Linked DNA regions of Cricetulus griseus. The protein of the gene in region 5 interacts with the protein of the main gene of each other region in a pairwise test. Links are inferred from orthologs where the notes say so. Each region holds a gene or a part of one and is shown on either strand. Other genes may lie near its edges. The genes, in order: Amfr, Rnf11, E3 ubiquitin-protein ligase TRIM32, Mid1, Ube2n and Lrsam1.

Evidence for each region.
Region 1: the proteins of Ube2n (region 5) and Amfr interact in a two-hybrid assay, tested with the Homo sapiens proteins (2 studies listed by BioGRID and IntAct). The link is inferred for Cricetulus griseus from reciprocal best matches to the Homo sapiens genes UBE2N and AMFR.
Region 2: the proteins of Ube2n (region 5) and Rnf11 interact in binary tests that used the Homo sapiens proteins (3 or more experiments, as listed by UniProt). The link is inferred for Cricetulus griseus from reciprocal best matches to the Homo sapiens genes UBE2N and RNF11.
Region 3: the proteins of Ube2n (region 5) and E3 ubiquitin-protein ligase TRIM32 interact in binary tests that used the Homo sapiens proteins (3 or more experiments, as listed by UniProt). The link is inferred for Cricetulus griseus from reciprocal best matches to the Homo sapiens genes UBE2N and TRIM32.
Region 4: the proteins of Ube2n (region 5) and Mid1 interact in a two-hybrid assay, tested with the Homo sapiens proteins (2 studies listed by BioGRID and IntAct). The link is inferred for Cricetulus griseus from reciprocal best matches to the Homo sapiens genes UBE2N and MID1.
Region 6: the proteins of Ube2n (region 5) and Lrsam1 interact in binary tests that used the Homo sapiens proteins (3 or more experiments, as listed by UniProt). The link is inferred for Cricetulus griseus from reciprocal best matches to the Homo sapiens genes UBE2N and LRSAM1.

The regions. Positions count from the first base shown.
Region 1 is NC_048596.1:170,182,733-170,187,100, reverse strand, and holds part of Amfr (E3 ubiquitin-protein ligase AMFR), read left to right. Parts: intron 1-675; coding exon 676-809; intron 810-1,695; coding exon 1,696-1,806; intron 1,807-3,369; coding exon 3,370-3,560; intron 3,561-4,368. UniProt on the Homo sapiens protein: E3 ubiquitin-protein ligase that mediates the polyubiquitination of lysine and cysteine residues on target proteins, such as CD3D, CYP3A4, CFTR, INSIG1, SOAT2/ACAT2 and APOB for proteasomal degradation.
Region 2 is NC_048595.1:40,364,967-40,369,334, reverse strand, and holds part of Rnf11 (RING finger protein 11), read right to left. Parts: intron 894-4,368; coding exon 724-893; intron 1-723. UniProt on the Homo sapiens protein: Essential component of a ubiquitin-editing protein complex, comprising also TNFAIP3, ITCH and TAX1BP1, that ensures the transient nature of inflammatory signaling pathways. Promotes the association of TNFAIP3 to RIPK1 after TNF stimulation.
Region 3 is NC_048595.1:80,217,675-80,222,618, forward strand, and holds the start of E3 ubiquitin-protein ligase TRIM32, read right to left. Parts: upstream 3,013-4,944; 5' UTR 2,949-3,012; intron 1-2,948. UniProt on the Homo sapiens protein: E3 ubiquitin ligase that plays a role in various biological processes including neural stem cell differentiation, innate immunity, inflammatory resonse and autophagy.
Region 4 is NC_048604.1:104,293,139-104,298,162, forward strand, and holds the start of Mid1 (E3 ubiquitin-protein ligase Midline-1), read left to right. Parts: upstream 1-1,925; 5' UTR 1,926-2,055; intron 2,056-5,024. UniProt on the Homo sapiens protein: Has E3 ubiquitin ligase activity towards IGBP1, promoting its monoubiquitination, which results in deprotection of the catalytic subunit of protein phosphatase PP2A, and its subsequent degradation by polyubiquitination.
Region 5 is NW_023276806.1:161,500,272-161,505,390, forward strand, and holds the start of Ube2n (ubiquitin-conjugating enzyme E2 N), read left to right. Parts: upstream 1-1,936; 5' UTR 1,937-2,094; coding exon 2,095-2,124; intron 2,125-5,119. UniProt on the Homo sapiens protein: The UBE2V1-UBE2N and UBE2V2-UBE2N heterodimers catalyze the synthesis of non-canonical 'Lys-63'-linked polyubiquitin chains. This type of polyubiquitination does not lead to protein degradation by the proteasome.
Region 6 is NC_048599.1:144,662,405-144,666,772, forward strand, and holds part of Lrsam1 (E3 ubiquitin-protein ligase LRSAM1), read right to left. Parts: intron 2,600-4,368; coding exon 2,509-2,599; intron 492-2,508; coding exon 361-491; intron 1-360.

The DNA.
Region 1 (4,368 bases), on a different chromosome or scaffold from region 5:
GTCATGTTTGACAACACAATGAGTTCCAGAACAGGCTGGGATACAGAAGATACTGCTCCATCCTCCAGAAATGTGTGTATGTTTATGTATATATAAGTATACATGGCTGGACATCTTTTTGCATTAAGCTTTTAAATTTGTGGTTAATGACTCAGGAAAGGTTGCTGGCAGTCGGATAACTAGGCTGAAGAGCCAAATGTATTGTTTAGGCCAATCAAATAAATATATGCATTTACTTCTGGAAGGTTGTTCCAGTTCCCTTTCACCTTAAAGAGCTTCTGTTGTACATGCACCTCCATTCACTAGCAGATGTGCTTGCATGTTCGAGTGCATGTACATTCTGTACATGTCGTGTGTATGTGCTTACCTGCACACTAATGTTAGTATGGATGCATATGTAGAGACTGGAAGTTGATGCAAGGTGTTTTGTTTTCCACCATATTTTTTGAAATAGGTTTTCTTCCCTGAGTCTGGAGTTCACTTACTAACTAGACTGCTCAGTGAGTTTCAGAAGCCTTTTGTCTCTAGGGTTACAAATGTGCATGGCCACGCCTGCTTTTTATATGGTGCTGGAGATTCTACCCACTTCTACTCAGCATTCTACCTACTGAGCTATGACTTTAGCCCCGCACATTTGTTTTTATTTTACATTTTGCTCTCCCCATCTCTGTTTAGTTGTTTGGCAACATCTGGTTATCTATGGCTAGCCTGGTCATCTTTATGCAGCTTCGTTACTTGTTCCATGAGGTGCAGCGGAGAATCCGTCGGCACAAGAACTATTTGCGTGTGGTAGGAAACATGGAAGCCAGGTAAGACAGTGTGCTTGATGTTCCTGAGCTTCCTCTTCTTAACTTTGTGTGTGTGGTATTGGGACAAGATCTCACTGTAGCCTAGGCTGACCCTCTACTCTCTCCCACTGTGCTCATCCTCTAGGCCAGCTTTAAATTCATAATCTGGCTGCTTCAGTTACCATTCCCAGCTCTCATTTGAGCTCATTTAATAGCAATTCCTATATCCCACCAGAACTTGCTTTTGTATTCTTATAACTAGACAGAAGAGTACAGGCATGTCAGACTGCTTGAGTGTGTATCCCACTTAGTTGCAGGGTGGTTTGGGGCAATTTATTAACTGCATGTACTCCAGTGATCTTATCTTTTAAAGATGACATAGAACCGTTTTCCTGGAATGTGGGGAGGGTTCCAGGAGATAAAATATTCTTATTTTTAGTCACTGTCTGTTGTCACTACTGAGTGGAAGCACTTGTGGTCTTCCACCATCTTTGTTTTGGGGAGGTGTGTCTTGATTACACTTTGCACATGCATGTTTATGGACATGGCTCACGCACTAAAGACACTCACTTGCCAGCCTGAGGCTAACCCAAACCAGAAAGTGCAGGAATAGTGGTTACCCTTTTAGTTTCTTGGGGACTGTCTGGATCTCTGGGGGTCTGATTCCTCTGATATGTCCATAAATGTTCTGAATTTCACTCACAGGTGCCACTGTTACTGCAGGGTTGGCTTTTGTGCTGGTTTCCTTCATGGTTTTCTAAGGGCTATGAAGAAAAAAAATACTTTCTTTACATAATTGATTTTGTTATGTACTTGTGCCGTTATAGTGGTTAGGTGTATAATATGGTATACATTGGGTGTGTGTGAAACTGAAGAGTTCCTGCTGGGCCTGTTATGTGTTTTACAGGTTTGCAGTTGCAACTCCAGAGGAGCTAGCTGTCAATAATGATGACTGTGCAATCTGCTGGGACTCCATGCAGGCTGCAAGGAAACTTCCCTGTGGACATCTTTTTCACAAGTAGGGGCTTTGTACAGGGTGTTTGGGAGTGGCCTTCTGTCCGGGGACTCTGGGTGCTTTTTACATGGTTTTGAACATAACTCAGCAGCGGAGCAAGGATGTTAGCTCAGCCTAGCCTTGTTGTTGATGTTGCTTGGAGCCTGTGACTAGCTTTCTGAGTCTCCTCTTTTGCCCTCAGACCATTTTTTACCCACATTTGCCATCTTAACTTCTATTTATATCTTTCTTTCATAATTTTTCTCCGTTTAAGTTCTAAAGTAACAAATATGTCTATAATATTTTTTAAAGGGAGTTTCATTTTCCAGAGAGAGAAGCTTTTCTGTTTTTGTTTTTCTTTTGCATTTTACACATGCTCAGAAGCAGTGTGCAAAATACTACAGGGTGAAATAGACTAGACCAAGGTTATTTGAGTAATCCATCTGCAACTATCACAGGGTAGGCCTTCCAGAAAGCTCCAAGATTAGAGAGGGCCTCATATTTCAGAGATGTCATCAAGGCTATTTAAGTTAAATAATTATGAACATGGACTTAGTTTTGCTATTGATGAATTTAGAGGTATCATTTGGCCCCTTGACTATTGAATTTTTTTATCTTAACACTTGTAGTCTTTCCCTTTTTAATATCAGAAAGGCTTTGGAACTGGAGTTAGCCCGTTCAACAAATGTTTTATATGTTAGAATTAGGTGTTGGGTTGTGGGGGTAAAATGGAAATAACAAATGAGGTCTTTGTGGTGCTTGCAGTCTAATTAACCAGCACATTTAGAATGTGCTTTATAGAAAAGAAACAGGGCTCTGAAGTAGTGGCACACACCTTTAATCCCAGGACTCAGGAGATAGAGGTAGACCTCTGAAGATTAGTAACAAAGGAATTGGATTCAGGTTTGGAGGGAGTGACTTTTGAGGATGGGCAGAAGTGAGATTTGCAAAGAAAGAGCAAGTTGGAGAGGATGTAAAATGGGAGGTACGGGGGGAGCTGCTGCAGCAGAGGGGAAATGGAGTTGATGGAACTAGGTTGAAGCCAGTGTGTGACCTCACGGAAGAAGAAGGAGTGTGTCTGGCCGAGGTAGGAGTAGTAGGCAGGGTCCAGAGGGCCACTGGATGGGTAGAATGCCATTGAAGGGTTTTCAGTGAGGTTGGTGGACAGAGAGGAGTGGATTAGTAGATCCAAAATCATTGTTGTGAAGACAAGGCCGTGTTATACCATGTTGGTCAGTAGCTAAAGTAGTAAAAAGAAAGATCACGGGAGTAGAGGACTTGAGGATGGAAGAGGCCAAATATTGGATGATTGAGCCACATGGATTCTGAAGTAACTGAATGGAGGTGGGGAGATGAGAAGCCTTCTTCGAAGTGATTGAGGATGTGCATTACCAGGAATGTGTTAGATGTCTGTGTGTTAGAGGGAGGGGTTAGAGAGGTATATATAAATGTTTCTCAGCATTTAGATATGGTTAGTAGTAGAAGCTAAGTAAAATTAGAAAAACCAGTAATTCTGATGAATTCTCACAAATTATGCTATGGAGCAATTGAATATGTTCATATTGTTTCCTTTCAACTTTTTGACAGCTCCTGCCTTCGTTCTTGGCTAGAACAAGACACCTCTTGTCCAACATGCAGGATGTCTCTTAATATTGCTGATGGTAGTCGTGCCAGGGAAGACCATCAAGGAGAGAACTTGGATGAGAACTTGGTCCCTGTGGCAGCTGCAGAAGGCAGGCCCCGCTTAAACCAACACAATCACTTCTTCCACTTTGATGGTAAATTGTCTCCAGCCTCCACTCTGTCTGTGGGATTTTCTTTCCTAATGAAATTGTTATGGTTTTAAACTGCCCTGTTAATATTATAAATGTATATATTATGTTTATAGTATTATATTATAAACTACCCTAATACTAGACAAGTTTAGTATTACTTTTTAAAATTCTTTTTTTATTTTAATTAGAAGATTATTTTACATGTCAATCCCAGGTCCCTCTGCCTCCCCTTAAAATTCTTTTTATGGCATGCATTATTACATTCATTTATTCTGTATGTGCATATTTATAGCACATGTGTACATATACTCCATGACCTGTGGAGGTCAGAGCAGTTAGTGAGTATGTTGGTTCTTTTCTTTTATGGATCCGGGGGATTAAATTTGGATTGTCAAGCATCAAGTGCTTTTATCTATAGGGTTACCTTGCCCCCTTAGTATTACATTTTAACTTCCTTTATTTGATTTTTAATACAAGTGTGTACTGGCCTTGAATTTAAGATCGTTCTGCCTCAACCTCCCTGGAGTTAGGATTACAGGCTTGTACTAGCCTGCCTAACTATACTTGAATTCTGAAAGTGTTCAGGGTGAGTGGGTGGGTAGGTAGAACTGAGGAGTTATTCTGTGCCATTAAGAAGTAGGGTAAGGTGGAGGTAGTAAAACTGAATTAAGCTTACCTTCAGGGAGCCCACATAACCAGTTTAATAGTTAGACTTTGCTAATAATTGGTTGTATTGGTGTGATATAAAAGCATATGATGAAGGCTCCATGAGTTGCCTTCTCAGGGAGTACCATTGGTGGAATCAGAACTG
Region 2 (4,368 bases), on a different chromosome or scaffold from region 5:
AACACTGTTGTTCCATTCTAGTTCTCAGTTTGTCTATTGGCACAATGTGAGCAGCCACCTCATAGTCCCACCAACATGGACAAGAGCAAGTCCTGTTGTCATGCCTTTCCCAGTATGAGACTGGGTTCCCTGAAATCACAAGTGAGAATAAAATAAAGCCTTCCTCCCTTAAATTGCATGTCAGTATTTCTGAATCACAATTTATTCAACTATACACCTCTATTGTTGGACATTTATGAAGTTTGTATTTTTACCCCTCAATAAAACTACAGTAAACATTTTGTGCCTAAAGTTCTAGTATGTATTTGGCATGGGGTGGGGAGTATAAATACTGAGGACATTTAATTAGCTCAGAGTTTAAAAGGTTTAACTCATTTTTTTAAACAAAAGTTTAACTCCTTAGACAACTGCTAAATTGCTCTCATAAAATAAACCAGAAATGTCACATTTATATAGGTAAATGGTTTTAACTGTCATCTAAATGGGCATGCAGCAACTATATTCGTCAGAATGTAAGACTTCTTTATTGCTACATTGGGTTTTCCAGTTGCTACACTTAACTTGGGTTTTCCAGTATAGAATTTCATAAGCTTCCTAAATAAACAAAAAGCCAAATTCAAAAAGCTAAAGTTTATGGTTGGAAATACAGCTTAGTGTTCAATCTCCAGTATCATCAAAACACTACACGCACAAATCTCTATAACACATAAAATTATTACTTACTCTCGGATCTTTTTTTCTGATCCATCTCTTCCAGGGTCATAAACTCCTTTAGGCAGATGCTGTATAAGGCCTATTCTTTGAGCTATTCTAATTTGTTCCTCTTCAGTCAGCTGAGTTGCTAGCCGAGTCTGGCTAGGTGTTGGATGATAGACGGGAACGGGAACTTGTTCCTAAATATGAAAAGTGCAGGAAAAAAAATTAAAAGCCATTTTCTGGGGTGTATTAAATTACTTAGCCAGAGAAGTTAAAATAGGCCCTGTGATAAGTGGGAGACTGGATAATCATGCAGCAGGCTTTGTATCTTACTGACTTTGTCATATAGACACTCTTGTCTATGATCAAAAATACGAGTGACCCTTTACATTATAACTGAGAATGTGAGCATCTTCATCTTAGACACACTACTTTAAAGTTTTATACTTAGTAAGCATATTTCAATGCAGACAAGTCCCATTATGATGCTTATTAACTACATACAACATTGACCAAGTTATTTAACATTTGTACCTTATAGAAGGTCACTATAAAAGTAGGAATTTTAAGTGTTGTCCTTACCACTGTACACAAGAAAGCTTAAATTATGTAACAGCCAGGATTACAACTCTGCTACTCTATGACTGCAGAACAGCATTTAAAAAAAAAAATACTAGAGCCAGATGTGGTTTCCCAACAGAGATTGAAGAATCAAGGCCAGCCAGGGCTACATTGGGCCAGCCTGAGCAATACAGTGAGACTCAAAAAATTGGAGAAAAAAATCACTGGATTATAGGGCTGTCTATATTTGCTCCTGTTTCTTTTATCTTTTTAGTTTAAGTCAAGGTCTCTCTATGCAGACCAGGGCAGCCTCCAACTTTACCTGCCTCTTTTGGGATTAAAGGCAAACTTTACCCTGGACAGGCTCTGCTCCTTTGTACAGAACAGTCTTTGATAGGATGGAACAAAGAAAGTCTACTAAAAATGTAACCAACCCCAGTGTTTCATTTCAGTTTATTGTATCAAACATTTCCTGGAATCTGTAAGCCCATTGTTAAATACCTAATTAAAGCTTGAGTTCAAGCCACAACACTTGAGTCTTTTGGTTTTGTTTTAGAAGTATATTTTTAGGAATGACTGATTATTGTACTCACTTCTGTCACCTCCTCTTACCTCAAAATATAAACCTTAAATGTTTACCAATTAATCATTTTCTATATACAAGGAAACAGCACAAAAAAGATAATGAAAGTTTGTGAAAAATTGCTAATTAATAGAAAAACTGGCCTTCAAAGGTACAAAGCGTCAGTAGGAATAGTTTTCCAAAACATACTTGAAGACTAGCTATTTCTGAATGGAAAGGCCCTTGTATTTCCACAAGATGGCTGTAACCATCTCTAAGAATACAAAGATAGTTACTTTGCGTTTTGGACTAACAGTAATTAATCTGTGCCCTAGGCATATAATTCCAACTCAAATCTGCCCGATTTGGGTGGGGGAGAGGGGGCGCCTCGGAGGAGCATGCCTTTAATCCCAGCACTTTTGAGAGAGAGACTGGGAGATCTGTGACAGTACCAGGACAGCCAAAAAGCAAAACAAAATAAAAAATTAAAGGTACTCTATATTAAAAGTACTCTATATCATGTAATGTCAGAAAATTTGCAATCAGCATTTCTTCTCCAAGTGACAATACTTGGCTTGTTGCTTTAGATTTAACTTGGGTCCAAAACCAACTGTATTTCTGTTTCTTCTAAAACCTTTCCAAGCTGTCTATCTCTGGGTTAATGACAGAGAAGTACAATGGGGGGGGGAAAAAAAAGAAATGCATTTCATAGAATTTCAGACCTGGCCCTTTTGGCATATTAATACCTCTGAACTCCAGGGTTCCACACAGCAAATTAGAAGACCTTTTTTTTTTTTTAAAAAAAAAAAATGTCATTCATACTGGCAAGTGGTGTGGTACATACACACAATCGTAGCACAGGTGAAGTAGAGGCAAGATTGTTTCCAGCCTGATTTATATACCAAGTTCTAGGTTAGCCAGAGACACATAGTGCAAATCTCAAAGTATCTAGGCCACTCTATGATGACCTCATTTAGTCAAAGGTAGCTAGTTTATTCTGATTCTTCCAACTTCCTCCTTTCCCTTTATTCTGGTTTTTTCCTTTACTTATATTTCTGAACTTTGTGTTTGAGGTCAGAGAAATTTGGAGAGTTCATTCTCTCCTTCCACTATGTGGGCCCAGGGGATTGAACTCAGGTCCTCACATTTGGAAAACCTATTACTTGCTGAGCCATCTCAAGCCCTCTTTTTGAAACAGGGTCTTGATATGTAAGCCCATGCCCGCCTCTTTTTTTTTTTTTTTTTTAGCTTCCCAAGCACTGTATTATAGAGTCTTATCCAACCATCACTGATAGGAAACAAATTTGATCTGCAAATCCAAATTTTGAGATAATATGGAAGTCATAACTGGAGAAGCAAATATATTTCAAAATAGTATTTTCCTTAATGCTTTGTTTGGTTTCTCCCATGAATCTCCATCAGGGTGGTGGTGAAAAGTATTTGCCCTAAAGGGATAATTTTAAATTAAAAAGTTCCTCCAGAGAACTGCAGTATTGTACAAAATACAATTTAAAATGAACAGAAGACAGAAAATATGGTGATTAAATATACTCACGGAAAGGGAAATGATAGGGTTAGATACCCACACCCTCAAAAAAAAAAAAAAAAAAAAAGGCAAGTTCTGTACATGTTAAATCAAACTACATTTCCAGCTCCTTGTAAAGTATCTATATAGATGCTTAACATAAACCAAGAAAGAAACAAATGCCAGGCAGCACACCTTTAATCCCCGCACTCAGGAGGCAGAGTTCAAGGCTGGTCTGGTCTACAGAGTGAGTTCCAGGACAGGCTACAAAGCTACACAGAGAAACCCTGTCTTGAACACCTCCCCTGACCCTAATTTGAGCATTTGGAAGGCAGAGGCAGAAGAATCTATGCATTTGATGCCAGCCTGATCAACATAGTGTGTTCTACGACAGCCAGGGCCACATAGAGAGACCCTGCCCCTCCACCCCACAAAAGAGAAAATGTAAAATATGTCTGCACTATAAAGATGGATTTAATTCCAGCATGGTAGAACATACCTGTAACCCCAGCAATTCAGGTGGAGGCAGAAGTTCAAGGGCATCCTTGACTACCCAGCAAATTTGAGGACAGCTTATGAGACCTTCTCTCAAAAATTGTTTTATTGAAGTAAGAGAATATGAAACAATTTCCAAAACTAAAACAATGCAATGGGGATATGCCTAAATAATACCAAGGCTGGAAATAGTACAAGTCTGGCTTGTGGTGAAGGAAAAATAAAGTCACTACTAAAGAATGCAGCTTGTCACCAACAGCTGTATATTTTCAGCCAGTAGGAAATGAAAGCTCACTCTTGATTTTTCTCCTTACACGATGCTGCTGGCACCTCCTCCTCTCCAGCTGCAGTCTTACTGGGAATGTTTTCTCTAAATTTTACCACACTTATATTTAAGTCCATAAAAAGCAAGATTTGAATAGTTGGTCTCAGTGTATGTGTTAGCTCAAATGATTCATTAATTTTGACCATAAAAGGGTGAGGGAGAACCCCAATAAAGCAAGATTACATTTATATGTAGTTCTCAAAT
Region 3 (4,944 bases), on a different chromosome or scaffold from region 5:
ACTGCTACCTCAAGGTAAAATCTGGCTAAGAGGTTGGGAAATGCATGCAGGAATGATGTTTTTCAATTGTACTGTTCTATCAGAAAGGCACAATGGAAGTAGTCTCCCAAAGGAAACACATCTGCATACACAAGAGAATGCACTTTAGCAGCCTTACAAACTTGTGACTTCCGGACACTCCCTGGACACAGGTATAGGGGCCTTAACTGTCAGAAGATCTCTAAAACTAGAATTGTAGAAGTTAGGAGTCAAATAGAACTGAGTTTACATGCCAGATTAACCATTTGCTCTGTAGTTTACGAAGATATGTCACTTAACTTTTTAACATTCTGACCTATAAAATAAGGAATCACGTCTAGCTTGTCAGCACTCAATGTAGCTGACTGCTTTTGGACAGAGGCTGACACATGCTGGACCACCAACAAGCAAGCAGTAAAAAAGCTGATTCCAAGGCTAACTCAATCCCTATCAGGTATTTTCCTAAGTGATGTGTGCTAATATCCAGTTAAGTCTTCTGCCCTCAGCTCCAGTCTAATTTTGTTTTTAAAGCCGGCTTCAGTAATGTTGTAGCTGGGTTTGGAGCTGATAAAGACAATACTACTCTTTTGTTCCAGAGACTAGACACACAAAAGAGGCCATTCAGAGTAGTAGCAACTCTCCTTCAGTCCATGACTGCCTTCAGCCTGAGGCCCCGCTGAGGCATTCTATCAAGCCAGTGGCCTCTTCATCTCAGTTTGTAGCTCCTTACACCTCACCTTGCCTAGCTCCAAGCCCCTTCCATTATCTCTCCACTGGTTCTGGTCTAAGAGCAAGCCAAGAACAGGGTGCCCAGGGTTTCTCCTGATCAAGAAGAAACACACTGCTTTAGAATGCTGGGCAATCTTCCTTTTCATCAGAAAAGGCTGAAAGGGGAAGACAAAGCAGGCTGTAGCAAAGAAGCAAGTAAGGAGGATATATACTGTGGTGGGTATCCACACGTCAGTTTACTTTTGCCATTTTTAGTTATATGGCCTTGGACAGGTGACCTCCTAAGCCTTAGTTTCATGTGCAACACAGGACATAATAAAGCATATTTAGCAGGACTGTTATTAGTTTTTACAGGAGTACACTCTGAGCACCTACTGAGCACTAGACAGTAAGCCCCCTGATTGATTTCACTGGTCCTCACAACAATCTTATGATGTAGATCCCAAAAAAGCTAGTGCACTGAGAGGTCAAGTCACTCTTTAAAGACTAAAGCAGGAAGAGAAAGAGCCAGGATTCGAACTCAGAATATCTGACTCTGAAGCCAGGTCCCTCCATTTGCATTTCTGGCTAGGTAACTGTTGGGGTTGTTATCTAGAAACTAACAACCGCCACACCCCCCTCAACTGGATGGGACAATGCACCCATCCAGACACTGTCAAATGTTTTCTGGCAGAAGAAAATCACCCCTGACTGAGAACCAAGGCTTTAGATTATGACATAGTTAGGCTAAATATTCAGCACATGTGAGGCTCTCCCTTGCTCCCCAGACATTGTTTTGTTTCTCTCCCAGCCCTAACACTTCATTTACAGAACCACTACCTCTTTGTGCCATAGCTGGTCTTCTAAAATAAGATAAAGTCAGGTTCAAGATCATTTGACTCAATACCTTGGAGGGCTTAAACATCTCTTACAGCTTGGGGGCACAGGGAAAGGGACAGATAGCAGAAGACCTTGGGTAGTTTCTGGCTTCATTCCCTTCCTCTCCCTCTCTTCTTCCACAAGGCCTATAATGTTAGGTCTGCGTGGAGTAGGTTAAGCTAGTCAGTGTCAGTGAGAATGCTATGTCTGTCTCAGGATCAAAGGGCTTTTAGTACAAGGAAGACTCTGCCCTTCAGAGAATGTCAAACTCTCCTTCAGGATCTCTCAAGACTCGTGACTTTATTCCCAAACCTCTGCATTCTCCTAAATTCCATTCATTCATACATAGTTTATTTGTACATTACTTTCAGGTTCCTGGGTCTCCCAAACACCTTCTGGGTTCAATTATGCAGAGACCAAAAACAAACAAACAAAGCCTCCTTTAGTAGCCTAAGAACCAATTCACAAACTACAATCTAGTCACAACATTCAGTCCCCACCATTCAATCCTCTACAAACCCCATTCCCAACCCTCAATCCCAAATCTAGAATTCAGCCTTCTAGACTGTATGTTGCAACCTTGCATTTCACCAATTGCTTTTGGGTCCCTGTTACACCCTTTATTCAATCTATTTTCAAATTTCCACATCTGTCACTCCTGTATGCCAGCTCCAAACTCCAACACTGTACCTCAGATTTCTAGCCTCCTTCAATCCGGGCCCTCATCTGCATCTCCCTGACTTGCACAGTGCCACCCCCACCCTCACCCACCCTAGTCTTGCCTCACGTGTTGCCTTCAAGCCTTTGCTTGCGATTTGCTAACTGGATACTGATTTCCTTGGGAACTCACCCCTCAAATCTCTCCCAGATTCTACTACAGAATTGCCTTTTTCTTCAGCAATTAGATTTTTTCCAAGACCCTGACTGTTTTGACCTCAGATCTTGCTCCCATTCCACCATCTCCTCAAAGCCTCTGAGCTTCTGCCCACCAACCCCCAACCTATCTCATCCATGCCTCCCAAATTCCTTTCTATTTCTGATATTCTGCACCCAGATCCCTCCAGGGACTCCAGATACCCCCGATCTCCCACATGCTTTACGCCGTCTTTCCGCTCAGCCCCCACATTACCTCATACCTCCCGAGATGCTGCAACTGCAAATCTCCTCAGCCCCTTTGCTCCCCTCCCCCAGCTGCATCTCAACCCCACCGAATCTCTCCCAAGCCCGTCCCTCCCCCATCCAGTCCTGCCACTCCGATCCAGTCCCCAAATCCTGCCATTCAATCTTGGAGCCCCGCGACCCACCACAGTCCCTGGTCGCAGACCCTCCTTCCCTCCCCCTACCTGACCGCCCGCGGCTCCGACGCGAGTCCACCGCAGCCAGCCCACCCGCCCGCCGCCCTTTGCGCATGCGCCAGCGCGCACTTCCCACGTCGGGTGCCAATTCGCAGGAATGCCTGTCCATCACCGTGCTCCGCCTCCCCGAGGCATGCTGGGGCTTGTAGGCCCGCGGGCCCAGAGCTCTTGGCCCTGCTGAAGAGGTAGGGGGTGACTCTGGAAACCTAGGACACCGCGGTGTGTGATCCAGTTTTCTGCCTGTCTCAGAGTCGAAATTTACCCGGTCAGTAAATGCTAATCTCCCAGTAGTAGTCTACAGAAAGTCCGGGCACCTAGCTGGAACGCCTCTTTGTACCTCAGTTCAGGAAGACAACACACTCCTTTCAAAGAGCTGGTCCTGGAGCTAGGTAATTTTGCCTGTGACACATCCCTCTGCCTAGTCACTGAACACACTGCATTTAGGAAGTAGTATCCTGGAGGCGAGCAGCCGAGGTAGAAACGGGCAAAGCCCTGCACTGAACCTTGTCTTGCGGGAGGTTTTGTGGCCCACTGACTAGCCAGGACTTGCTGCAGATAGTTTGGGGACAGGTAATGCCTGCTCCAGGACGTGAACACGCATTACTAGTTAGGAGTCTGAAGGAATCTAAGATATTATGTCTCCATATTTAAAATTCCACCAAGCTGTGTGCCCCCAGCACAACGTTAAGACAATAAACAAAAACAGTAATATCTTTGAGCACTTTCTGACTAACTACAGCTAAGCACTTTACAGGCTTAGTCCAGCCCTCATAACAGCCCTGAGATAAAGAAACTGAGGGTTAGATGCCAAAACAACCTGTCAGAACCTGGGTTTCAATACCACTGTTAGAAAGCACCCTTAACCTTGTTTTAATCTTTCTATTTCTTTATCTCTAAGTAAAGTCAAGGGTTGTTGTGATGATTGATTGAAGTTGTGTGTGATTCACACTTTATTAACGTTAACTTTAAGTTAAAATAGATTACAATCAACTGGGCATAGTGGCACAATCTTGACAACCTAGCACTTGGGAGAATGAGCAAGGAGAAGTAACAGTGTAAAGGCAGCTTGGGCCCTATTCTAGTTTGCTGTGTACTGCTCTGTCAATGACCATGGCTAAAAACAATTTGGAGAGGACAGGGTTTATCTGCTTTACACATCCTAATCCCAGACCATCATTGAGGGAAGCCAAGGCAGAAACTCATGAAGGCCAGGAACTTGGAGACAGGAACAAAAGCAGAGATCAAAGGAATGCTGTTTATAGCTTGCTCATTAGGTTTGTGGTCACCTACCTTTCTCCTAGGACTATCTGCCTAGGGGTGGCACTGCCCATATCAATCATAAATCAGGGAAATGCCCCCACAGACTTGCCCAAAGGCCAATCTGATGGAGGTCTTATCTAAATTAAGGTTCCCTCATCCTGGATATGTCTAGGTTTGTGTGAAGTTGATAAAAAATTTACCAGTAGCCTAGGTTACACCACAACACCCTGTCTCAAATAAACAAAACAGGAACAAAGTTGTAAGTAGTTTTTCCTATAATCTGTCATACAGCTAGTTCCATAGTCCCAGGCTTCTGTGTGTCAGATATCAGGAGAGGAAAGATAATAGGATGTTATACTTCCCTACTTTTTTGCTCCCAAACGAATTGAGTCAAATATGAATAGCCATGGCTTGTGAACACAGATTCCTGTTATCCAAAATAACGTGCCCTACTGTGGAAGTACAAAAGAATCCTAAGTCAGTATATTACCAAATGCATTGTGGGAGATATTACGTAAGTATGCTACAGCAGGCTAGGGAAATCTTTTGTATTTTCCAGATGTTATAACATTCTGAGCTTTAGAAACAGTGAAAGCTTGTGGTGTGCTAAGTTTAATAATGCATTCCAACAGTTTTACCTAATAATCAGAAGAATTTTAGGTCAGATTCAGAGGTTGGTAATAAATGGCTATTAAAAAGACTAAAGATAACCCAAGTGAAATTT
Region 4 (5,024 bases), on a different chromosome or scaffold from region 5:
ATACATAGACTGCATTAATAAAAGCAAATACATGGCATGACACCAAAATTTAAATATTAGTGAAAGCCCTTTGAAGAGAACACACTAACATGCCTTCCAATGGAAGAATCAAGATGGGTCTTAACTTGATATGCCAAAGCTGTGTATCCTAAACAGAAAAAATGTGTGCAGTACTTTCAAGGTAATATTTTCATAGTATTTTATAGCCCAAACTCATATTCAATAAGTGTACACTTCTGATCTCATTTTATGCTGTTTGATATTCAAATGCAGTCATATCAGTAAGTGATGACTTTGTAGAAAGTATTTTGTCAGTTTGTAACTCTATTTAAACTATCTGAACATACTATTAATAAATATAAATGTGCACATGGGAAAGTGCCATGTTAATGTTCTTCTGTGTCAAAACTGATTTTATTTTAGAAATGCTACTGGAGATACATTCTAGAGGATTTGGAGAATGGGATCAACAACAAACTGATCCTGAGATGTTGGAGGACTAATCACCTTATCTTTCTGAGCCTGTTGTGTTATTGTGAACAGGAAGTAATACACACTTTACACCATTCCCATGGAGATAAGAAAAGTGATTGCCTTTGCCCAAAGTGAAATGCTTTTCAAAGTTTAGTTATTCTTCTTGACTGTGCAATTAGAGAAATTCTTTGGGATAGGTTGAATTGGTGCTGGCCTCAGTCACTGCCAACATCCATTGTCTCTCCTTTCTGAATCAGGGAATCAAAACAGCACTAAGGTATTTTTAATGGCATTGTCACTACTCTAGGAGAAGTCAGCTGGTGGGCACAATAAGAACAAGTGATTCTTTTAAGGATTGCTTATACTTATTACACAGTCTTCATCTCCATTAAAACATAGGAAAATCTTACATCTTATTGCATCTACTTCTTACTAAGTCTTTAGTGGAATGAATTACAATGAAAAAGAATTACTACTTTACTATGATGTTTAAAAGTATAGAGAAAGAATCAAGTATTACGAAATCTACATGTATCATATTTTAAACTGTATTTCAAGCTACAGTTAAGCCTCCCATCTATAGAGTTCACTTAAAGATCTATTTCTTATCTTCTTAAATCAGTGAAATTGCTTAAGACTTTTTTTTACATATAGCCATGCAAATTCACAAATCTTGTATTTCTTTTTTGACACAATCAAATAATATGTTGGTTAGGGAAGATTACTGCTGCAATAGATATAATCAAACTGGTATTTCACCCTTCAAAAATACAATAGCAATCACTGTCTTGTAAAGCAAATAAACATCAAATATTTATATTGTATTATCTACTAAAGTCCTGGGAAAGTTGTTGAGTAAGTTAGTTGCTATGCTCAAATAAGTCAGTTGTGCCTTGTTTCATGGAAGTTTATTCTCTTCTCGTTCTCTTTCTGTCATAAGATTTACCTCTTTGAAAATAATCTCAAAATAATATTCCCTATTTTTAAAATCATGAAAGACAAAATGTGATATCCTATACTTTGATTTTTCCCCTTCAGTGCTTTCTGATAATATAAGGTTGGTCACAGTGCGTGATATAAAATACTAGTTGTTAACTCTCAGTTACACTAAAGGGGCCAATTTTTTGCAGACTGCCAGGATAAAGATGATTTTAATTAAATCCCACAAATCCCTTTGTACTGCAACCAAACCCTCTGCAGGCCAACTGTCTCTGAGTCCTTCTGGCATGTATAGAGTTAATCAGGTTACGGGGGGGGGGGGAGATCCTAGTTAACTTCTTCCACCAGGAATGCAATTCATGTTTACCTATATAAGGAAACCTGTTAGGCTGACCTGAGTTTGGCATATTTTTTTTTTTTTTGCTCTGACTGAGAGGCATGTAAGCACACACCCTGGAGAGGGGGAGCGATTCCCAGCTGGACAGAGCAAGCTTCCTGAACGCCCCAGCCATTCAGCTGATCCGAGGCGAAGAGCAGAGCTGGTACTTGCCCGGAGCAGCCTGCTTGGCGGACCCACAGGTTTGCCTCTTCCAGCTCTCAATTGAGGGACAAACCCCCATCCTGGGAAAAATGGGGAAGCCGGTGAGTTTTACTGCTCTCTCTCTCTCTCTGCTTGCTTCTGCTAAGGGGCACGCCTCGCTGCTCTCACCCAGGAAGCAGAGGGAGAGGCGTTGCTCAGCCTCTAACCCCACAGCTCCTTCCTGAACAAACACAATGCTTTGCCGCGTACCTCCAGCTAACTTTCTCTGCGGGCTTTGCACATCAAAAATCTACCGAGGCAGTAATTCTAGCACCTTAGACATCCCAGAAAGTGTTTTTACTGAGCAAGAGTTTCCAGACCACCGTGATGAGCAAACTTTCTCATCTTTCTTGCGCTCTGAAACAGTGCAGATGAGTTTACGGGGGTGCTTGGAGAGAAACGCTGAATCCCCAAGGAAGTAAGAATAAATCTTAGAGAGTTTCTTAAATCCACAGGCAGGCTGATAGTCTGCGGAAACAGAATTTGTCATTTAAAAAGGCAGTTTGAAGCTATAATTTTTCATTCCCGAGGAGCAAAATACTTGGATCCTGTACGTGTAATAAAGGACACCTTCTGAGACACCGAGGAGAGAAAGAAGCAGAGCTGGCTCCTTTGTTCTAGACAACAACGTATAGAAATTCACTGTTGCATTTTGACAACTAGCATATGCCTGCTTATATATAAGGTGGAAGTGATGAATAAGGCATTATGTCAAGGGCACTGTGGTCAATTGAGTTAAAAATTGGCTGTGCTCTACACATATATAAAACTCTCAGTCTGAATGTAATTAAATATGGGAATGTGAAAGTACTTAGCAAACTTAGAGGGAAATTTAACTTACTACTTGGGAATAGTCAATTATAAAAGGCAACTTGTGAAAGGAAATTTGAAAAACCAAAAACCTGTTTCCACAAAGTTCTGAGGCATAGGTAAAAGTTAAAATGAAAGTTTTCTTATACTTGTCAAAAGTGATTTGAAGGTACAAATTTGTAATTTTTATTTTTGTAAGGCAAGGTGATTTTTTTGAATTGAGTTACTTTGGATAGTTTTGCTAAATGGTGTGACTGCTTATCTTTCAAAGGAACATTGTTCTTTTCTGTCACACACAACACTTAATTCTAAAAATTTGTGCAGTAGCGATTTTGCTACTGACTGCAACAGGTGGCAATGAGGACCTGGTTGCAGATTTGCAATGATGAGGATTAATTTCCTAAATTAATATAAAGGAAAGTAATTGATGCAAAAATGTTTTGAAAGGAGAACACTTTTATTATTAATTGCTAATAATATTCCACTTTTCTACTTGTAGCAAGACTATTGTCTTAATATAGATTGGCAGCTGGCTAGTCATACGGACAAATCTCTGGCCAATTTTACTTAGGGTCCTTGATTCTAAACAGTACAACTATGCTCAGTAACACAGTTTAAATGCTGCTTGCTTACTGCGGTGAGAAAAAAGTGGGAAAGAATCATATATTATAAGGGAGACATTTTATTAAATAAAATTCTAAATAACAGGAGCAGTGAGGGAACAATGCAAATGTTTAAAGCTTGTTATCTGCACACTACTGCTAGGGGGGCAATGGGAGTCTTAATATTGTGCTGCTATCAGTGGGAGTGAGTAGCCCAGGAGACACAAAACACTATTTTAAAATATACCCTTAATAACAGATGGTTTAATACCAGGTTGTCTCACCATGCTGCCGATGAGATGGCCCCAAGCCAAATCAACTGGCATGTCTACCGTTTTTCCTGCGAGTGGATGTGTACATTGTTATTACATACTAATTACATTAACAGCCAAGGGAATATATAACCAGGAAGACATAAGAGTCTCCTGAGCCACAGAGGGTGAGGGTCTTTACAAGGATTTTGAATTTCACACTTAGAAACCTCCTTGCCTGTGACATGAGTTGCTGCAGATGATTGGAAATGTTATCTGTAGAATCTATGCATCCCAGGCTCCTTACAAGCTCATTTTGGGGTAACAATGCTGATTATGGAATGGGACACTTCAGAATTATCAGAGTTCCGGGTAGATTTCATCTTGAAGATTAAATTCATTTAGTGTTTAAATTGTTCTCCAATAAAACACAGTTAGGATGCTACATTTTTACATTAACCCTTTCAAGTCACTGGTAATATGTTCTGGTGTGAAGGGCGCAACATCCTTAAAACTATGAAAAGGTTTTCCTGGGTTTTGAAATTAAAAAAAAAAGACTAAAGAATTCTGAGCAAGGGAAGGGATAGGTCTTCTGATAACTTTGATATGTTCATAAGTTGTGAATTTGTAAAAGCAATGTGGTATGCAACCTACAAAGCACAGTTAGCTACAAACTTACTAATAGTTCCTGGACCAGGCTTCTTTTTGTGGGGGTATCTGGTTATATCAGGACACATTCTTTAAGAAAAAGCTAGCCAGAAATTGAGAACATGGGAAGAGAGGGAAGAAGAGGAAGGATGTAGACGTCATGAGGGAGCAGAAAGATTGAGTCAGAGGAAGAATAGAAGAAAGGGCATGTGATAGGAAGGGTTTTAGTTGGGGGAGGTGGTAGGGGAAAATGGGTGGGAGAAAGGAACTGGGATTATCATGTAAAACAATCTTGTTTCTAATTCAAATAAAAAATGATTAAAAGAAAAAGCTAGCCAGTAGATGGGGTGCTGAGCACTGCTCAAGTGAGTTGCACACATGCCTACTTGTTTATATTTCTTGGCATGTTGTCTATCGAGCTGGACTTGGATGAAGCATATCTTGAAGATGATTTCTGGGCCTCCATTTTCTTAATGTACTGCATAAATTTGATAATTTTCTATACTTGATATAATGTGTAAAACAAAGGAAACTGCCAATGACAATTTTAGGCCCATGATACTGATTAAGCAAATTAAAATGCTACAAATATGTTCTCCATAGGTATCCTAGTTTTTAATTATCTTCTGAGAATCACTAGAGTTTTCAAACCCTGTCTATGTCATTTAATTTTGGATGTACTCTGTGTGTGTGTGATGTTGTTGCTATTGTTGTTTTCCA
Region 5 (5,119 bases):
CATTAAGGCCATTAGTTAATGCTTCTCTCTGTTCCAGTAGCACCCTGGGAAAACCTGTTACAGCTTCACACATTAGCCTGCAATCACTGTCTTTTCCACAGTGGACTCTTTCAGTTCAGGAAGGCATGGTCTGCTTTTGCTCTGGTCTCCTATGGTAACTCAGCTCCAAGCTGCAACATTCTCCCTTTCATTCACCTTCTACTCTTTGTGTCACTGTGCTGGCAGCCAGGGTTAGGTGAGGCCTGTGCTTTGGCAGACCTGCCTGGGAAAGCAGCTGCATTGTTTTTGCTACAACCTTAGAAAACGTTAACAGCATCTAAACAGCACGTTAAAATGGAAGCAGCAACAGCCCCTTAAGTCTCATGAAAGGAGCTGGAGAAACGGTTCTGCAGTAAAGAGCACTTGGTTCTCTGGCAGAGGACCCACCTGGAGGCTCACAACCATTCTTAAGTCCAGTTCTGTGGATCTGGCCCCTGAAGGCACCAAACCATGTATGTTAGTGTTGTTAACTTGATAGAATCTAGAAACACCTAGGGAAAAAAGCCTCTGGGCATGCCTGTGGGGGACTTAATTGATGTATGGACACCCATCTTAATTGTGGTTGTCACCTGGGCTGTATAAACAGAGAGGTAAGCACTAGCATGAAAAATTCGATGTGACCAGCTGTCCTTAACTATGGTGATTATCCCCTTTGAACTGAAATTAACCCCTTTTCCTTTAAGTTGCCTTGTGGAGTATTGTGGTGATATTTTATGATCTAATAAAGCTTGCTTGAAGATCAGAGTGCAAAGCTAGCCACAGCCATTCAGGCCAGACAGTTGGTGGCACACACCTTTAATCCCAGAAGACAGAGGCAGATGGATCTGCGTTCACCACCACCCTAGGAAAACCTGTAGGGAGGTGGAGAGAGAGGAATCATAAGGCAGAAGGAGACAGGAAAGCTTGGATTTAGAGGTTGGTGGAGAGCAATGCAGTCTGAGGACAAGGATCTCCCCTTCCTTCTGAGCTTTGGTAGAGGTGAGAACTCTCTAGTGGCTGGCCACTTTGTTTTTCTGATCTTCAGCCTTAACCTCAATATCTGTCTCTGAGTTTTTATTATCAATATCAACTATTATTCGTGCTACAGGATATTTTATCACAGCAACAGGAAAAGAAATGAAAACACCCAACAATCCCTTTTGGGACCCCTCCACTTTTAGGGCCTTCACTCTGAAGGTACTCCTACTCCTTTAGGGATTACTCCCCTACTTGTTGCAAATCCTTTTGGGGTGGGGGACAGGTCGGAGAGCCCCCCTCCCTTTTTTTGTTGATTGTTTGCTTATCAAGACAGGGCTTCTCTGTGTAACTTTGGAGCCTGTCCTGCAACTTGCTTTTTAGACCAGGCTGACCTCGAACTCAGAGATCCTCCCGCCTCCGCCTCCTAAGTGCTGGGATTAAAGGCGTGCGCCACACCGCCAGGCGAGGCCCCCCCCCTTTTTTTTTTATGTGAAATTAAAACATTTAGAATTATTTGTCAGGGCCTTGACAACCAGTTTCCCAGTTAGAAGCTTTGCCATCGAGTGCTTCTCGTTTGGAACAAGCCCCCCGATCACCAGGTCGACGGAGATGCGGCGCAGCGTCAGCCCGCCGCGCAATGCGGGAACATTGAATGAACAAATGGAACGAATGAATGAATGAGCTACGCCGGGGGCCGGGCCTTTGTTACGTCGCCCACCGGCGCAGGCGTGGTCGGTCGCACGTACGCTACTCGTGGACGCCGGACACCCAGTCTCGCGCAGATTCTGCCGCGGGCGAAGCAGCTCGGCGCTGCCTGGCGCCGCCTCCCCCAAGTCCCTGCCCCGCCGCGGAGCGTCACTTCCGCCACCCCCGGCTGGGGTTGGGGCGGGGAGTGCGGGGGAGGGGGCCATCAGGTCGGACGGAAGGCCGCCCGAAGCCCGCGTCCAAGCAGGGACTACATTTCCCGAGGGGCCTCGGCGGAGGCAGCGGCGGCGGGCGCGGCGACGTCCCCCGGAAGTGGAGTCCGGGACTTCCACTCGTGCGTGAGGCGAGCGGAGCCGGAGACAAGAGCAGAGGCCGAACTCGGGATCTGACAAGATGGCCGGGCTGCCCCGCAGGATCATTAAGGTAACCGCCCAGGCGGGCTTCGGGCCTCCCGCTCGGCTCTCCTCCACCAACGCGCCGGGCCGCGCGGCCATACGCTTCACTCGGCAGCCGCTGAGGGGCCCGAGGCATCGCGGAGAAGGGTCTGGCCTCGGCGGCGGGGAAGTCGGGCGCTGAGGAGGGGGCGCCGAGGAGACTTCCGGCCGCCGCTGAAAGCCGGACGCCGGGGGCTCTCGGGCTGCGAGGCCGCGCGCGGCACGGGAGGCCAGGCCGGTGCCGGTGCCGGGTGGAGGGCGGGGCTGCGGGCTTGGCGTCTGGCGCGGGACCGGCGCGGGCCTCGCCAGGCTTTCTTCACCCGCGGGCGGGAATCGCGGCGTGGCCTGGACTCCGGGCGTGGGTTGTGGCCTGGGCTGGCCGCTTCGCCCCGGAGCCCCCTTCTCCTGGTCGGCGGTCTCGGGTGCAGAATGAATGAACCGGCCCCGAGAACCGGGCGGGGCCGCGGGCCGCGAGTCCAGCCGCCGACCGCACATGTTCGTCCTGGCTGCCCGCGGTCGGCGGCGCCGGGGGCTTGGCGCCCGGGTGGGTGTCCTGCCCGCCGTGTTCGCTTCCCCGCGTTGCTGCCGGTTATCTCCGCGAAGTGATTTTACTCCGGTTGGCAAACTCTTTTTTCTTTTCTTTCTTTATTTTTTTGGCCAACTGTTTTCTGTTCCGAGGCACTGGTTCAGCCCAAAGCATCTCGGTTATGGGGATGATCTGTAATAGTTCGCCTCTGTTTTCGTGCGCCTTCCGTATACTAAGCGGTCTCGAGGCTCTTTAGGAATACTGTGTTTTGGTGAGTACGTATGGAACCATGAAAAAACTCGTATCTTGATTTTCTGAAGTCTTTACATAACAGCGTTGAGACTTCAGACACGATAGGCATCTGTTTTTATGAAGGATATTTAGTTAAAAAAAAAAAAACCCTACACTGCTCACCATGCCAGTGATATGCCCATATTGAAGCTTCGTTTTGCTTGCTGTAATCTAGTGAGCTTGAATTTACAGCACTGTTCACTCTTCTGAAGTTTTGGGCGAGATTTGTACTAATTATATCGAGGGCCCCTTTGAAGGATGTGATGCACTGTCTAGTCCCTCGGGCAGTCACAAATGGGTGTGAGGTTGGGTGTATGACAGAAAGGTGCTTAAATTAGAAAACAAGACCATTTATAAGACATTCTTAGGAAGAAAGAATAAATTGTCAACGAGCACTGTAGTCTTGACATAAACTTTTACTGCTATATTATGAATCTCAGATTCTTTCAAAGTAGATTTTAATTGTTAGGTCGTGCGTTGGAAAGTCCTGACTCGTTTAATTCTGATACAGAGACATGAACACTAGTGATCATGTTAATCAGGATTCCATTTGAAAAATGATTGCTTCCCACCAGACCACCGGGTTTTTATTGTTTGGTTAGGGACTAAACATACCACAGATTGATAATGAATATAATTCTCTAAAATTCACACTGAACCTAACAGTTGGTGTAGTTTTTTTTTTTTTTTTTGATTTTTGCTTGATTGTGAAGATTAATATTCTGCAGTAATACAAAAGTCTTGATTGGGAAAATAAATTCTGTGGAATATTGGCTATAAATTTACAGAAATGGTTTAAAGTAGGATGTTGAGGAGCTTGTTTAATTCATTTGGTACACAATGCTTAAGCATATATTCAGTGTTGCCATTTTGCTATTTTAAAACAAGGTAGTGGTAAACTCGTGCTGAGACATACAATCTTTACAGTATTTTATTGCACCCACCTCTAATTTATGTAATATTAATTGACTTCAGTACTTATAGCTTTAAAGGATTTTTTTTTTTTCCCCCATCAATAGGGCAGGTTAAGAGATTAGAATAATTTTTTTGTTTGTTTTCGAAGCAGGGTTTCTCTGTGTAGCTTTGGAGGTTGTACTGGAACTCACTCTGTAGACCAGGCTGGCCTGGAACTCCCAGAGATCCTCCTGCCTCTTCCTCCCCAGTGCTGGGATTAAAGGTGTGTGCCACTGACACCCCCTAGAATAATTTTTAGATCCATTTTTATATTATGTAGGTTCTATAATCAGTTAAAAATATGCTTTTTCTACTGTTAGGGATTGAATTGAAACTAGCTAGGACTTTGTATGTGCTCTGCAAATGCTTTACCACCAAGCAACACCTCAAGCAGAAAACGTATTTACATTAAAATTTATTTTGAAAAGTAACTTTTGGGCCAGAGAGTGCTCAGATATGGTGCTTGCAAGCTTTCTGAGTTCTACCCTTAATACTGCACACAAACCAGTTTTGGTATTGTATTTAAGTGTTACTTTTTTTTTTCCCCCCAAGACAGGGTTTCTCTTTGGAGCCTGTCCTGGCACTCGTCTGTAGACCAGGCTGGCCTGGAACTGACAGAGACCCACCTGCCTCTGCCTCCCGAGTGCTGGGATTAAAGATGTGTGCCACCACACTTGTCTGTCATGGTGTTTTATACTTATGATTCTAATGTAATAGAGGAAGGAGGGTTTAGAAGTTTATCATCCCTGGCTGCTTAGGGGGTTGAGGCCTGTCTAGAATATATGAGACTTTGTTTCAAACAGGTTAATACAATACTGGGGTCTATGTGACTAGAACAGTAAGTGGGTAAGGGTCGATGAAGCCATAGGGACATACTTTTTTCTATTGGATTATTTTATTTCTTGGTAGACTTTGGCTTTCAAAGGATAATATTTACTATTGCTAATAGTCTTTTTTTAAATTTTGAGACAATATTCCATGTAACTTGTGTTGGCCTCAAACTCAGATTTCCCTGCTGCTGCCTTCCCGTTCTGAAACTAAAAGTATAGGACACTATACCTCGCAATATTACTCTTCTCATCTCACAAATATTAAGTCGTTTGGTTTGGTGAGTTATTAATATGGTGCTTTCTACCTCGTGATGGCCATTGTATTTGTATATTTCTAAAGCCATTTGTTCCTTGATGCCACTTTGTGAATTAGTGACTGATTC
Region 6 (4,368 bases), on a different chromosome or scaffold from region 5:
GCGCCAGCATGAGAAATACTGTATGCTTCTCACACATGCACGCAGGCATGCAGCAATAGTAAATAATTTTTAAAAGTGCAAAGGCCATCCTTAGCTACATATTAAAAAATAAAAAACAAGTAAGATAAAATGAAAATCGAAGAGTGAGTGGGGACAGTTCCCAAGGTGCTGCTGCTGGTGGGGAAAGGGACGTGATTTGTTCAAGGGACGGCGGAGACCTGGACACCTGATGTGGTGACAGCTGTGGTAGTTGGGTCTGTGGTTCCGAATGGAGGAATCTTTAGTTACAGTTCTGAACAACTTCTTAGGCCAGCGGCTCAGTACCTGCACAGACACGCCCACGCTGGCTGTTCATCTTACCTGCCATTCAGCCTCTTCCCTGGACAATCTGTTTATGGGTCCATCGGGGCTGTCCTGGGAGTTCTCAGCTCCATCTTGCTCCAGGACTGGCAGCAGGTACTGAGAAGGCGGGTAGTACTCCAGTCCTGACTCTATGGATGGGGAAGGGGCGCAGGCTGGTCAGGAACACCCCAGCTGCTCGCTCCTGCCCCCTTCACTCTCCTCTCCCCCCCACTGCAGCTGCCTTGCTGGCTCAGTCCATTCCCATCTTCCAAGGCTGGGCCTCACCTCTGTATAATAATTACTGCTCAACGTCAGGCCTGGTGACATGGCCTTGTAATCCCAACTACTCAGAAAGTGGGGTGACTGCAAGTTCTAAGTCTTCCAGGGGTATAGAGTAACTGAGTCTGAGCAAGGCCCGTCTCCAAATGAAAACCAGAAAAAGGGCTGGGCTGCACGGAGTGGTGGCGCCCCTGCCGAGCGTGCGTGAGGTCCAATCCCCTCGGGAGGGAAATAGATGATGCCATATATTTGACTTCTGTAGTCAGTGTATGCAAATTTATTTATGCTTTATTTTTATGCTTGCTGTTTACATAAACATTAGAGAATCTTAAAGCATTCCTTTGGTATTGAGAATCTCAGTAGGTAGCGCAGGCTGGCCTCAAATTCACAATCTTCCTACTTCTGTTAACCCAGGTATTAAAATTAGAGGTGTATACTACTCTACCCAGAAAAAAATTTTTTTTCCTTTATTTTAGCAGCCTGGAACTGAAGCCAGAGCCTTGTTTATACTAGCAAGTGCTCTACCACAGCCTGAAGAACATTTAAAGGTGACCACATCCTTACAGCCAGGGGCAGTGCTGGCCCGGAAAGTGGTGACTGCCAGGCAGAAGCACACTTCCTCTGTGCCTGGCCTCTCTCCCTCTACTCTCTGGCAGAGACTCTCCTAGCTCGCTGTATGCAGTTTGCTCTTCCAGTGCTGCGGGTATGAAACAGTTCATTCATTCTCCAGCTGCTGGATGCTGCAGGGGAACAGTGCTTTTGTGAGCATCTGTGGACAACATAGCTTCTCCTTCTGTTGGGCAAACACCTAGTCAGGGAACTAACTGAGTTGTAGACCTGAATGTTCAGTTCGGACAGACACCAACAACATACAAAGATGGGGAGGGAGAGGGAGAGGGAGAGGGAGAGGGAGAGAGAGACAGGGTCTTGCTACATAGCTCAGGCTAACCTTGACCTCATTACGTAACCCAGGCTGGTCCAGGACTGACTCTGACCTCCCTGTGTCCAAGCACTCAGTACCACACCCAGCTATATTTGGAATTTACTGATTTGGAGACGGCTGGCCTCCTGCCACACTATATGCCTGCTTCTACTCTGGAGCACTAGGATTACGGGTCTGTGCTATTACACACATTATGCGGGGCTGTGGCTTCATGTTTAACAGCCAGCACACAGCAGCTGAGCTCTCCCCCGGCCTCTCTTGATCAGGATCATCAGGAGATCATTTTTCCCTGCAGCTCCAGGCCAGCGGATCTGGGATCATTGGAAAGCTCACCCTAAAGCTCACTATGCAATGAGTCATGAATAATTCAGATGACTGAGGCTTGCTCTGAGAACACAGGTGACAGGAACCATGTTGACAGGTGACAACAGCCCAAAGATGCTTCCTTCTGGTGCCCAGGTCACAAGGGTGTCCCCAGGGGCCTGCCTAGCTGGTTGTCCTCCTTACTTCAGTTACTTCTATGTGCTCTTTGTGAAACCAGACCTCCTGCTGGACCCCGACCCCTGCACTTTTCTTCCTTGGCCTTCAGCACTCCAGCCATACTGGCCCTCTCCACAGTACCTCAGGTCTCTTAACACTTGCTTCCTCTGATAGAAACACACTGTCCCCTGTCCTGGCCCTAGCTCCCTGTCAGGTGTCAGTCATGTTGCTTTCTCGGATGGGCTCCCCAGCCCTAACCTAAGCCAGATGCCTGACTCTAACCTTTCCTAAGCTCAGCCTGGGTGTTTAAGTCCCTGTGATCAATCCTTCATTGTACCTGTTGCCCTCACTGGACCCTGACCTCTGACCAGGCAGTCTGTACCTGCTGGTCTCTGCTGTCTCCAGCCTGGTGGCAGGGGATGGCCAAGAGAATTGGGGGAAGAGCAGGGGTGTCCCACCTTTACCTTTGCAAAGGAACTGCTGCACGGCCGCAGTGCCAGCACCACACACCTCTGGCGGAGGGTAGACCATGGACAAGGCATCAAGGCTCAGCGTCTGTGGACAAGGGAACTCCCTTTACTGTGTATACCACTTCACCCCCAGCACAATTCGAAGTCACTTGGTTTCATTATTGGTGCTGAGTGTCTCTCCTGCCTACACAGGGAGCAATGCCCAATATGGTGGCTAAAGTCACATGTGGCCATTTACATTTCTTGAATTGTGTGTGCATGCTTAGGTGTACATTTATGTGTGTGTGTGTGTGTGTGTGTGTGTGTGTGTGTATGTGTGTAGAGCCAGGTTTCATTAGGAACCATTCACTTTGCTTTTCGAGATAATCTCTCACTGGCCTGGAACTTGGTAAGCTGGCTAGGTTAGCTGGCTAGCAAGGCCCAGGGACCTGCTGTCTCTATTCCTGCAGGGTTGGGATTGCAGGTGCCTGGCTCTAGGGACTGAGCTCAGGTCCTTTACAAGCACTTTCCCCACTGAGTCATCACCCCAGCCCCATTTGTTTTTCCTTAAGATCTTGTTATGTGGTCCAGGTTGCACTGGAACCTGTGATCCTCCTGCCTCCTTCCAAGTGTCAAGATTACAGGTGCACACTGTCACAAGCAGTCTTCATTTCAGTTTTAATTAGTTCAGGTCACCATGGCTATGTGGACATGTCAGCTTGGTAGCTACCAGTTCTTGGGGGCCACCCAGATGACAGCATTTCTGTTACCTGCAGGGGGAGTGTGTCTCTTGAGGGACACTCAGCCTGGTTTTAAACCCCAGCACAGCACAGTCAGTCAGCTGCGCATCCTAACCAGGTATTTAGCTGGGCCAGGCTGTAACTTCCTCAGTGTCACAGGAGTGCAGTATCCCTGATTTGACGGGATGTGTGGCAGGTGACAGGAGACAGCATTTGAACGGAGCTGGCATATAATGTTGACAATGCCTGTTCTGTTACTCTGATAAAAGGTCTGACCAGGGGTCAAGATGCTCCCAAGAGTTTTTAAAGGAACAGCTGGGAAATGAGTTCCACCTAAACTTCTGCTGCAGAGCTGGGGCTCAAGAATGCTAAACAAGTGCTCCACCACTGAGCCACATCCTTGGTCCCTAGGGCTCTTAGTATCTTAGGGTAGATAGCTTCAGGACCAGGAACATGCTCTGAGCTATGCTGATATATCTGGCAACTGCAAAGCACAAGAGACTATTTACCTGTGGATTAATAAAGGTTCAATAACACTATTTAGTGCCTTTGTGGCACCAACCACATTCCAAATGCTCAAGAGACGTATGTGGCCACTGAACTGGGCAGCAGTCAGGAGAAACTCCCGTTATTGGAGAACAATCTCCTGAGAGTCACAGAGAATGGAGCTGACTGAGCACACACTGTTTCGCCACCGTGTGAGGGGCATCAGACACAGATGTGCTGGCTGTGCTCAACTGTTACCTCCCCAGACACCTCTGTTCTATAGTATAGCTTGACAGAGGTGATTCACCAAAAAACTAGGGAATTCTGGGATGCTCAGCCAGGCTGTCACCACTGTGATAGGTATCCAGACACTGAACTTTACAAAGGTGGATGGCCATGAGGGATGTTCCAGAGGATATGATGTCTATCTATGACCAGCTGTGTGGCCTTTGAGGAGTCCAATAAACTAGTTTGTGCCCCATTTCCTTCATCGGTGAAGTCATAACAGGACATGCCTTACGGGGGTTCTGTGTGGGTTCAGGAGCTAACACAGGTCCAGCTGGTAGAGTGAAGTCCTGGGTTCAAGACCTGGCACCACACAAACTGGGTGTACTGGTGCAAAACTGTACTCTTAGTAGGTGGAGGCAGG